Linked DNA regions of Sus scrofa. The protein of the gene in region 1 interacts with the protein of each later gene in a pairwise test. Links are inferred from orthologs where the notes say so. Each region holds a gene or a part of one and is shown in the gene's direction. Other genes may lie near its edges.

What was found.
Region 2: the proteins of SEC22A (region 1) and SFTPC interact in binary tests that used the Homo sapiens proteins (3 or more experiments, as listed by UniProt). The two-hybrid records come from large-scale screens. The link is inferred for Sus scrofa from reciprocal best matches to the Homo sapiens genes SEC22A and SFTPC.
Region 3: the proteins of SEC22A (region 1) and TMEM79 interact in binary tests that used the Homo sapiens proteins (3 or more experiments, as listed by UniProt). The two-hybrid records come from large-scale screens. The link is inferred for Sus scrofa from reciprocal best matches to the Homo sapiens genes SEC22A and TMEM79.

What each region holds. Positions count from the first base shown.
Region 1 is NC_010455.5:137,223,187-137,226,835, reverse strand, and holds part of SEC22A (vesicle-trafficking protein SEC22a), read left to right. Parts: intron 1-570; coding exon 571-734; intron 735-1,845; coding exon 1,846-2,040; intron 2,041-3,649. UniProt on the Homo sapiens protein: May be involved in vesicle transport between the ER and the Golgi complex.
Region 2 is NC_010456.5:6,439,128-6,442,876, forward strand, and holds the start of SFTPC (pulmonary surfactant-associated protein C), read left to right. Parts: upstream 1-1,185; 5' UTR 1,186-1,251; coding exon 1,252-1,293; intron 1,294-2,033; coding exon 2,034-2,192; intron 2,193-2,498; coding exon 2,499-2,621; intron 2,622-2,879; coding exon 2,880-3,002; intron 3,003-3,327; coding exon 3,328-3,426; coding exon of another isoform or gene 3,427-3,464; 3' UTR 3,465-3,474; intron 3,475-3,749. UniProt on the Homo sapiens protein: Pulmonary surfactant associated proteins promote alveolar stability by lowering the surface tension at the air-liquid interface in the peripheral air spaces.
Region 3 is NC_010446.5:93,766,541-93,770,289, reverse strand, and holds the start of TMEM79 (transmembrane protein 79), read left to right. Parts: upstream 1-1,449; 5' UTR 1,450-1,777; intron 1,778-2,827; 5' UTR 2,828-2,870; coding exon 2,871-3,630; intron 3,631-3,749.

The sequences.
Region 1 (3,649 bases):
CCAACACCACAGCTCACAGCAATGCTGGATTAAGTGGGTTAAGGCACTGAGCAGGGATCGAACCCGAAACCTCATGGTTCCTAGTCAGATTCGTTAACCACTGAGCCATGATGGAAACGCCATACCTTGAAATTGTGTAACAAGTTCTATGTTGTTTCTGGAGAGAGTGTCCATAACTTATCAGAACCAATGAAAAATTCTTGATTCAAATGGTGTTAAGTTCCACTAGGTTGAGGGGTTGAAACCTTAAGCTCTCTGTAACCCTTATATTTCTGTATAGTCTTTCTCCTGTGTTATATACCCCAAGTGATAAATAACTGAAGTGTTAGGACCATAGTATGAACCTCTTTAGGTACATTTTATTATTTTGTCTACTGTTTTTAAACCACAACTGAAACTAGTGTTATATTTTGGTTCCTTTAAATTTTTTTTTTCTGAAATATGTAATAAATGTTAATATCTTCACTGCCTCTACCTCAGCAGTTTATGGTGTATAGAGCCAGTCTTGTGAAGCAACAAATTACCGTTATTTAATTTGAAAATTTAAACCCAATGTTTTTTACACTGTAGTTTTATTAGCTCTATGGGCGTGAGCTACATGATGTTGTGCACTGAAAATTACCCAAATGTTCTGGCCTTCTCTTTCCTGGATGAGCTTCAGAAGGAGTTCATTACTACTTATAACATGATGAAGACAAATACTGCTGTCAGACCATACTGTTTCATTGAATTTGGTAAGGGCCTGATTTTTTTTTTCCTTTTCATTATCCTGTCTCCATCCAGTCATAAGCAATTTTTCATCTAATACTAAGGGATAGAGAGAATAATTCAGAAAATTCTGCTACTTTGCTTTTGATAGGATAATTTGACACATCTTCTGTAAATTATGGCAACTTAATCATTTAGGTGCCTATTGGAAAAAATGTATTTGAGCTTTATAGGGAATTGCGATTATTGGTGCAAAGAATTAATCCCAGAGGACAATTTCTCCATGAGAAATTTGTAAGCCAGAGATTGAGAGTTTTGTGTTTATATGATAGTATTTTTAGATTGCCTAATGTAGAACAGAGGTAGGTAAACATTGGTTTGAAAGGACCAGATAGTACAATTTTAGGCTTTAGGAGGGATTATCTAGTCTTTGTCATAGCTACTCAGTGCTTGCTATTATAGCCTTTAAATTAGCCATAGGCTATAGATAAATGAATGAGTATAGTTATGTTTTAATAAAATTTTATTTACAAAAAAATCAGGCTATATTTAGCCTGTGGACATTAGTTTGCATGACTCCTGATGTAGAAGGGAAAAAATAAATCCAAAGTGTAAATAGTGAAAATAACATTTATTCTTTAAAACATTTGTTTTAATGGTATAAGCAATAAACAAGAAAACAGATTTATATTAATATGGAATTTACAGTATATGTTTTAATGTAATTAAACTGGTAAATAACTGTCAGACTTAATATTTTATAAGATCAGAATGTCTATAAAACTTAAGACTTTGGTTTAAATTTAAAGGGAGCTGTTTTTGGCTTTTTTTTGTAGAAGTTTGGAGTAATTCCCTTAAGTGGATATAATAGAAATAGTCTCAGTCATGTAATGTTAAATCTGTATTTATAATTATTAATTTCTAGAGTATAATTTCTAGTGGGAAAAACTGATGGCACCAGGATATATTAACCATTAAATACAAATAATATTAGGACATTCCCTGGCAGATTGAACAGTTTGGGATAACTGATTAAACTGTTTATTGCAAAATTTACTGTCCATAAACATAGATAGCACTCTCAAATGATTTAATTAACAGATGACCGCAAGGAAATTTATTTTTTATTTTACATAGATAACTTCATTCAGAGGACCAAGCAGCGATATAATAATCCCAGGTCTCTTTCAACAAAGATAAATCTGTCTGACATGCAGATGGAAATCAAGCTGAGGCCCCCTTATCAAATTTCCATGGGTGAACTGGGGTCAGCCAATGGAGTAACATCTGCATTTTCTGTTGACTATAAAGGTGCTGGTAAGATTTCTTCTGGTGAGTTCTGGATCTCAATTACTTCATTAAAAAAATATTTACTAAGGACTAAGGAACTCTTAAAAATGAATTATTCTAAAATTTTAAAGTAAGTACATGAAAGAATGTGGAAGTTCACAGTAATAATTTCTCCCAGTGTTTTATACAATCATCTCTCAAATGTGTAACTAATCAGGAAAATGCCTTTTTTTTTTTTTTTTTTTTTTTTTTTTTGGCAGATGGTGCTGGGATGGGGAGGTGTGTGGCCCAGGGCATATGGAAGTTCCCAGGCCTACAGCTGAACCCCAGCCACAACAGTGACAACACTGAATCTTTAACCATTAGGTCACCAGAGAACTCCCAGGAAAATACTTTAAATAGCAATCTCAAAAGCACTCTTTGTTAGGGGAATATTAAAGAAGATTTCTTTGTGTATATTTTTCTAGAAAAGAATAATAGTTTATTTGTAATATAGACCTATAGGCATGTAAAGTGCTTTTGCATTATGTAAAAATGCCTACATTTAATTAAGGTTAGGGTTCTTGACCGTCACAGAAAATGTGATCATCTACTCAGACATCCCCTCCAAAACAAGGAATACCATCCTCAACAGTTGTGGCATGTTGAAAACTTCTGCTTAACAGTGGGACCTTTGTTATTTTATATGATAACATAGTCCATTATTGAAATATTTGTTTAAAAAATTCCTTCCTTGTATTTTGAGTTAAAATCTGTTTCCCATAATGCTACATTTGCCTAAGTTCTGTGACCTCTCCTTCCCTCTTTTCTGCTGTATCAGAACTTTGAAGTCAGCAACTCTGTGTCCTTTCTATCCTACTAGTCTGATTGACTTCATATAAAATATCCTCAGTTCCCTTAGCCTTTTTGTCTATGGTATTTTGAAGCCTTCATCATCCTGAAAGCTTCCTCTGTATATGTTTTGTTTGTTAGTATTCTTCAAATGTGGCATTTAGTACTGAACACAACACTTCATATTTGGTTTGAGTAATATAAATTACGGGAGAAAAAGGGAAGCAGATTTCACTAAAATAATCCAGCTGGTCAGAAAACAAGCAAACTAGCAAATAACCGTAACAAACCCTGGGGAAGAGGAGGTAGATCACCACCCATAGTTGTTAAAATATGTTACTAAATATTCTAGTTTCCAGTGAAAAAAATTACATGACCTGCAGAGGAATAATATAATCCATACACTGGAAGTGGGGGGAGGGGAGAGGAAGGCAGGGAATAGAAACTGCCTGTGAGAGTGATCTGATGTCATATTTAACAAAGACCTCAAAGTGGCCATTCTAGAATTTCCTGTAGTGGCGCCGTGGTTGAGTGTCTGACTATAGCAGCTTGGGTTGCTATGGAGGTGCAGTTTTGATCCCCAGCCTGGCGCAGTGGGTTATTAGGATCCAGCATTGATGCAGATGTGGCGTAGTTCGCAGCTGTGGCTCAGATTCAGTCCCTGGCCTGGGAACTTCCATATGCTGTGGATGTGGCCATAAAATAAAAACAAAGTAGCCATTATAATTATCTTCAGAAACTAAAGGAAACCATGATTAAAGAAGTAAGGAAGGTATGATGATGCAACATCAAATACACTGTATTAATAAGACATAAAAAT
Region 2 (3,749 bases), on another chromosome or scaffold:
ACAGAGATTATGCTCTGTGGGTCTTAGAAAGGAAGCAGAGCAGAGACTGAAAGCAAGGAGTACTAGAGACAGCAGAAGAAAACAGAGTCAGAGCAAAGCCAGGAGGTCTCAAGCCACAGGCAGCTGGGCGAGACTTGCAGTTTACCTTGAAATTCCCGGATTTCCAGTAGTTTACCTTGAAGTTCCTGGGTTTTGGCACCAAATGATCTTGGAGAGACAGCAGTGAGTGATGGCTTGGGGCAAGATCTTAATCCTCTGCTCTGCTCTGGAATTGAACTTGGGCAGCTTGGATGAAAACCAGGAATCCTAACCAGCTAGAGGCTAGAAGCAGAATTGCCCTGATTCTTGACCCTCCCCAGTATACATGCACATTTTTTGGGAAAGATGGATTCCAGAGCAAAGGGTGCCTCGATGGTATCAGGACTTAGGATGGCCCAGTGCCCCCTCCCTTTTAGACCCCTGGGAGTCATACTGTGCCTGTGTAACTGGGGGATCTCCTTGGCCCCAGGAGGGATCGAAGTGGTCCTCTTATCTTTCTACTTCAGCAGAGCTCAGCTCTTTCAACTAAATTTTTCTTTGAGGTGTCAAAGAGAAACGATTCACTTGGCCTAACAAGTCCCAGCTGTTCTCAGCCCAGGGGCCCAGCTCCCTCCTACCTCACTTGAAGTGAAAATCTGATGCTCCCAGAGAACTGATGAACCATTTACGAACCCCCACACTGATGCCAAGGCACCTCATGCCTTTAGTAGTGCCCCTGCAGGTCCACAGGCACAGACGCCTCAGTCACCTTCCTGGAGCTCAGCCCTGTGCTTGGGGGAAATTCTGCTGGGAAGGTGGTGGACTCCCCATTGGGTCAGACCCTTGGGGCTGCCTTAGAGGTCCAGCCTGGCAGACATACAGGGAAAGCCACAGAACTGCATGGGCAGGTGCCAGCAAGAAAGACGGGCATGCCAGGAAGACACCCACAGTGAGAGGTGCAGATTGCCCAAGGGCAAGTTTGCTCAGCTTACCCAGCTTTGCTCTTGCCAGGGCCAAGAGGACTCATGTGCCAGGGCCAAGGACCCTTAGGCGCTCTTGCAGCTAGCTTATCAGGGCCTTGGCTCTGAAGGGCCAGGAACAAACAGGCTTCAAAGTTGAGGGCTTGGCTGGTAGACAGAGGCCAAGTCTTTCACCTCTGTCCTCTCTCCCTCCTGGTGCATATAAGACCCTGGTCACACTTGGGGATGAGCAGGGGAAGGTGCCTACAGCAAGATGGATGTAGGCAGCAAAGAAGTCCTGATGGAGAGTCCGCCGGTGAGTGTGCATGTGGAAGGGAGTGTGTGTGTGTGTTTGTGTGTCTGTGTGTGCAGGTGAGTGGTGGGTCCTGCCTCCTCCAACCTCTCAGCCTGTTTCCTCATCCAAATTCATTCGCTCAACTAACCTAGGACTGTGCTAAATTGGGAGAGGGACCCTAGCCTAATGGTAGGTTGGTCATAGTAGACTGGAGAGATCGGTGTGGCAGCCACTAATTCCCATACGAGGGGCTGTGAGCCACCACGGAGGTCAGTGGAAAGGGCTGCTAAGAGCATTGGATAAGGAGCCACTACTTAGGAGGTCGCAGAAAGCTTCACAGAGAAAATAAGCTGGCCCCAGAAGACCAGGTCAGAGCTCACTAGGTGGAGAAGGAGGAAGGCATTATGGGAAGAAGGGATCATATGCATAAAGGCATGGGGGTGTGATACAGCATGGGTTTGGGGGGGACAGAGAGGGACTGGGTATGGCTGGGATGCCAGGAAATAGCAGGAGATGAGACTGGTGAAACAGGCTCCCTTGGGTCTCTCCAAGCTAGACTTCTCTAAGCATCAATGGGTTTGTTGAAATCCAGGCCCCTTCCTCCAGAAGCCTTCTCTGATCTCCTCAGCCCCCTGCTGCATGCCCCTAGCATTGGTTGTTCAGCCCTGGGAGAGTGTGGAGGGTTTCCAGATCGTATAAGAAGAAGACGGAGCATCTTCACAACCTCACACCTGTCTCCCTGCCTGCCTCACCCCCTTCAGGACTACTCAGCAGTCCCAGGGGGCCGGCTCCGCATCCCCTGCTGTCCTGTGAACCTCAAACGCCTTCTTGTCGTGGTCGTGGTGGTGGTTCTTGTCGTCGTGGTGATTGTAGGGGCCCTGCTCATGGGTCTTCACATGAGCCAGAAACATACTGAGATGGTGAGCAGGCCTGGGATGGGGTAGACCGGTCAGGTAGCATTTTGCCCGAGGGGAAGGAGGGAAAGTGAGGCGCACCTAGTGGAAGGACAGGTGGGAGCAGGGTGGTAATGCTGGCCTGAGCTTTTTTACCAGGCCCCTGTCCCAGGGTGGGATAGCCTGTTCCCTCCAGCACCTGGTTCCCCTCGGCCTCTCTAAGCACCCAAAGGAAGAAAGAATTGCATTTGAGTAAAGAGGACTGAGGGTGGGCATGAGGCAAAGGAATGAGTGGAAGAGAGGAATGCCAGGAAGCACTACGACCTCCCCCAGGTCCTAGAGATGAGCCTCGCAGGGCCAGAAGCCCAGCAACGCCTGGCCCTGAGTGAGCATGTGGGAACCACTGCCACCTTCTCCATTGGCTCTAGTGGCAATGTGGTCTATGACTACCAGCGGGTGAGTATGACTCCTGACCCTAGGGCTGGGGGACCAATAACAAGACAATGCTAGTCCTGCCCAGCTATGCTGCTTCTTACATGTCATCCATCTCTCCCCACCCCCAGCCCTTTTACCTCCCCTGGGGGGGTGCCTGAGCCCCAGATTCCAATATGGCTCCCCCCAGGGCCCATCCTAGAGGGAGGTGGCCAAGGCCCAGGGTTAGAGAGTAAACTAAGCAGTGCCTTCCTTAACCCACTCCATCGTTCCCGTGCACAGCTCCTGATTGCCTACAAGCCAGCCCCGGGAACCTGCTGCTATGTCATGAAGATGTCTCCGCAGAGTATGCCGAGTCTTGAGGCTCTCACCAAAAAATTCCAGAACTTCCAGGTGAGTGTGCATGTAAGGAGTGGGTTATCTCCCTGCCAGGGCTGCTGGGAGGAGCATTTGCAATGACGGCTCCTTGTCACCTGTAAGGCCTCATGGACTGCCAGGTGAACGCCCTGCCTAGACCCGTGCACCAAACCTTTCCTACCTGTTCCTCATCCCTACCTACAGCCATGCCACTGGCCTCAGCTGAGCCCCACACCCCCTGGGGGCTTCTGATTCCAGCACAGCCCCTTCTTTACACAGAGAGATTACCAGGCACACCTGAAGTCCCATAATGAGGGCCGCAGGTGAGACAGAAACTCAGTTCCCAGGCTCTCAAATCAGATGCTCTTTCCAGGCCAAGCCCTCGACGCCTACCTCTAAGCTGGGCCAGGAGGAGGGCATGTCGCTGGCTCAGCACCCTCCGGGGACCTGGCCTTCCTGGGCAGCACCATGAGCACCCTGTGTGGCGAAGTGCCCCTCTTGTACATCTAGGAAACATCAGGTGAGCAGGTGTGACCTCCAGGGCCCTGGAGCAAGCAAGTGACAGTGAGTGACCACTGGTCCCTCCCCCTCCTCTTTCTCAGTGTGAAAGGAGCCTGAATTCAGACTGAGGCAAAAGGCTTTTTGGGACACTAGTCTGCCATCTTCCGTCTGCTACCTTTCCATTAAAGTTGTTATTCTTTGCCCCAACAACTCATCTCCGAATTTATTGGCCTGTGGCAGGGCGAGCAGAATGAACTTGGGTTCAGTAACACCCCCAGTCCCTCTTCTTCACAT
Region 3 (3,749 bases), on another chromosome or scaffold:
CAAATCTCGCGAAAGTCGTTTTCCCTCCCGGGAAGTTGCCAGAACTAACTCTGGGCGGCATGGCCTCTTTCCGGCTTCTGCAAGCCCTTGTGAAAAACTTTATTGACAAAGTTGCCAGAGAGCGAACAGCGGACTCTAAGGAGGGCTGAGCCTAAGCAGATGGGCTCACAGCTAGGAGTGTGGCTTTGCCTTGTCTGACTGTGGTCATTTGGTTCGTTTTTCTGTCGCCCCCATTTGAGTCGAGCCTCTTTCAGGTTACTAGTTACAGTGATTCTAATTCTCTCTTTTCCCCCATTATTTAAACAAGCAAAAAACTTGTATGTGAAATTTTTTTTGGAAAGAACCGAGTATGACAAGGCCTTCCAAGATAAGACTCTTACACAGACACCTCAGCCCTTCAGCTTCCGACCCCAACCCAAAGATTTCCACTTGCATGTTCCTCACTTACTGTTCCAGTAAACATTTATTGAACATCTGCTGTCTTCCAGCCACAGTGCTGGATTTTGGAGTCACAGAGATGAGCAATTCAGACATTGTCCCTCCCCTTACGAAGCTCTAATGACTTAAGGGGAAAAGATCCACAGGAATGAGAAGTTACACCCTTACATTTCTGCCCCCTGGTCCTCCCATAGGAAAGATCACTGTGGATTCCTATTGCTGTCTTTTTTTTAATGGCCACACTCTCAGCATAAGGAAGTTTCCAGGCTACAGATTCAATCCAAGCCATGGCTGTGATCTATGTGACCAGAACCACTGCAGTCACGTTCTTAAACCACTGTGCCACGGTTTTTGTAACCTTAAACCTAACCTAAAAAGCAAGGTGCTTAGGGAGATGTTCCTGAAACAACCTGTCTTTCCTTTTTATTGGCCTTTCACTTGTTGTTCCTCTGCCTGAAACACCCATTCTCCTGATTCCCAGCAGGTCTCAACTCAAATATCACTTTGGCAAAGAAATTTTCCTATTGAAATTGTCTTATTGATTTATTTTCTAGGCTTCTTTATTATCTGCTACCCCAACAGAACAAGCCCCTTAAGTCCAGAGACTTTGCCTGTCATCTCGTTCTTTCCTATGTCTATGCCCAGAATAGTGCCTAACTAATAACAGGTGCTCAATAAATATTGAATGAATAAGTGTAGAAATTCCACCTCTCTTTTGGGTGTTTTCCAACCTACTCCAACATCCTTTTTTTTTTTTTGGTCTTTTGTCTTTTTAGGGCCACACCGCAGCATATGGAGGTTCCCAGGCCAGGGTCCAATTGGAGCTGTAGCTGTCATCCTACACCACAGCCACAGCAAAGCAGGATCCGAGCTGCGTCTGTGACCTACACCACTGCTCACAGCAATGCCAGATCCTTAACCCACTGAGCAAGGCCAGGGATCGAACCTGCATCCTCATGGATACTAGTAGGGTTCATTAACCACTGAGCCATGACAGGAACTCCCCAAGCACCTTCTGATGCACAAACCCATTCTTCCCCCTTTGCTTTCCTGTGCTGGGAGTTCCTACAAAACCCATGTTCCTAGAACACACTTACCTCTAGGCTCAGCTGCACCCCCACTTTCAGAGAGCATGACGTCCTTCTCTAAGGCTTTTTCTGTCGGCAGATTCAGCAGGGCGGGGCCTGCCCTTTAATCTGGGCCCCACCTGCTCTGGTCAGACAGGTTTGGAGACCCAGGTAAAGGGAGGGAGACGGAGAGAAATACTTGCAGAGCCAGCAGCGAGCTAGGCAGCTCCTTCCCGGACGCTGGGGACCCTCTACCTCTCTCCAGATGGAAAGTAAGTGGGTGTCACGGGTCCAAACATTAAGGGATCGGAGGTCCTTGAGCAGTGAAGGGAGGGAAGTTAGCCTCATCCAGAAGCAGTGAGATGGAGGACGGCAGGGAGGGGAGAAAGACAGGAGAGGAGGCATGGGAAACAGCTTTGATTAGACCTAGAGGTCAAAATGGACAGACCCAGGCCCTTCAGATGTGGAGTGGGTTGGTGAGAAGTTTGAAAACCGACCAAGTATCCAGATTGGAGACGAAAGAACAGGGTCCCCTGCTACTGCCAGCTCCTTGGGACAGATTTGTTGGCAAATCGTTGGTATAAGTTGCCAGGAGAGTTCCAGTCCGGGGTCTTCAGGGGAAGGCAAGGTTTGGAAGTGAAAGGGAAGCTTCTCTGTCCACGAGAAGGTCTTTAGCAAGAAGAAAGCCCTTGGCAAATTTCTAGACACCTCCTTTTCCTCTCATTCCTGCATTTGGGTGGCCATGACCCCAGGGGTTTTGGTGGAGAGGGGCAGGAGATGTGGGTGGAGGCGAGGCCACAGCTGCCAGGGCCTGTGCCCCCTGACTCACCCTCTCCTGGTGAATAGCATTTGATGTCGAAAGGGTGTCTCCATTTCAGCTGCTCACTTCCCTCCTGCCTCACTCTATTTCAACACAAGGACCATGTTCTCCCTAAGGTCCCAGATGGGGCTAAAGCCCACCGTAAGACCAGCTGAGCTTCGGTTCTATCAACCCAGAAAACAGCAGCTTTTTTTTTTTTTTTTTTTTTTTTTTTGGCCTTTTTATTTTAGGTCCGCACACGGGGCATGTGGAGGTTCCCAGGCTGGGGGTGGAATCGGAGCTATAGCTGCTGGCCTATGGCACAGCCACAGCAAGGCCAGATCCAAGCCACGTCTGCAACCTATACCACAGCTCGTGGCAACGCCAGATTCTTAACCCACTGAGCAAGGTCGGGGATTGAACTCGAAACCTCATGGTTACTAGTTGGATTCATTTCCACTGAGCCACTACAGGAACTCCAAGAGCAGCAGCTTCTGACAGAGCTTCCCTCTGCTCCTTCCAGGGTGACACGACCTTACGGTAGACCCCAGAAGTGAGGCCCCAGGATGACGGAACCCGAGGCCATGGCCCTGCTGGAGGTGAAGGGGCCTGCAGCCCTGGAGAAAAGCCCACCCCAGGCCTTGGTCCCCAATGGCGAGAAGACAGAGGGGGAGGGTGGAGCTGAGTCTCCCAGAGCCGAGTCCTCCAGAGTGGGGTCTTCAGCTGGGTCTCCCACAGCCGGACAGGGGACTGAGGATGGGCTAGATAGCACAGTAAGTGAGGCTGCCACCTTGCCCTGGGGGGCTGGCCCCCAGCCCAGTGCCCCGTTCCCAGATCCCCCAGGCTGGAGAGACATTGAGCCTGAGCCCCTCGAGTCAGAGCCAGCCACCAAGCTGGAGGAGTTGCCCGAAGATGACGCTTGCCTGCTGCCTGAGAAGGCGGCCCGAGCCTTCGTGCCCATCGACTTGCAGTGCATTGAGCGGCGGCCACAGGAGGACCTTGCTGTGCGCTGTGAGGCGAGCGAGGGCGAACGCCGCCGGACCTTCCTGCCCACCCGGGCCGCCCCCGCTGAGCCCCCTGAGCGCAAGTGGGCTGAGGCAGTGGTGAGGCCGCCTGGCCGCTCCTGTGGGGGCTGCGAGGGCTGCGGAGGCCATGAGGGGCTCAGGGCTGTGGCCTCCGTAGGAGCTGCTTTCATCCTCTTCCCCTGCCTGCTCTACGGGGCGTATGCCTTCCTGCCCTTCGACGCCCCGCGCCTGCCGACCATGAGTTCCCGCCTCGTCTACACGCTGCGCTGCGGGGTCTTTGCCACCTTCCCCATTGTTCTGGGTGAGCCTGGGTCCTGTGAAAAGGGAGGGGGCATCTGGGAGCTGGACTGGAGGGCAGGGCCTTCCTGGCTTGGAGAGCAGGAGAGTTTCCCCTTGTGAGACCTGGACCCTCGGGGGGGC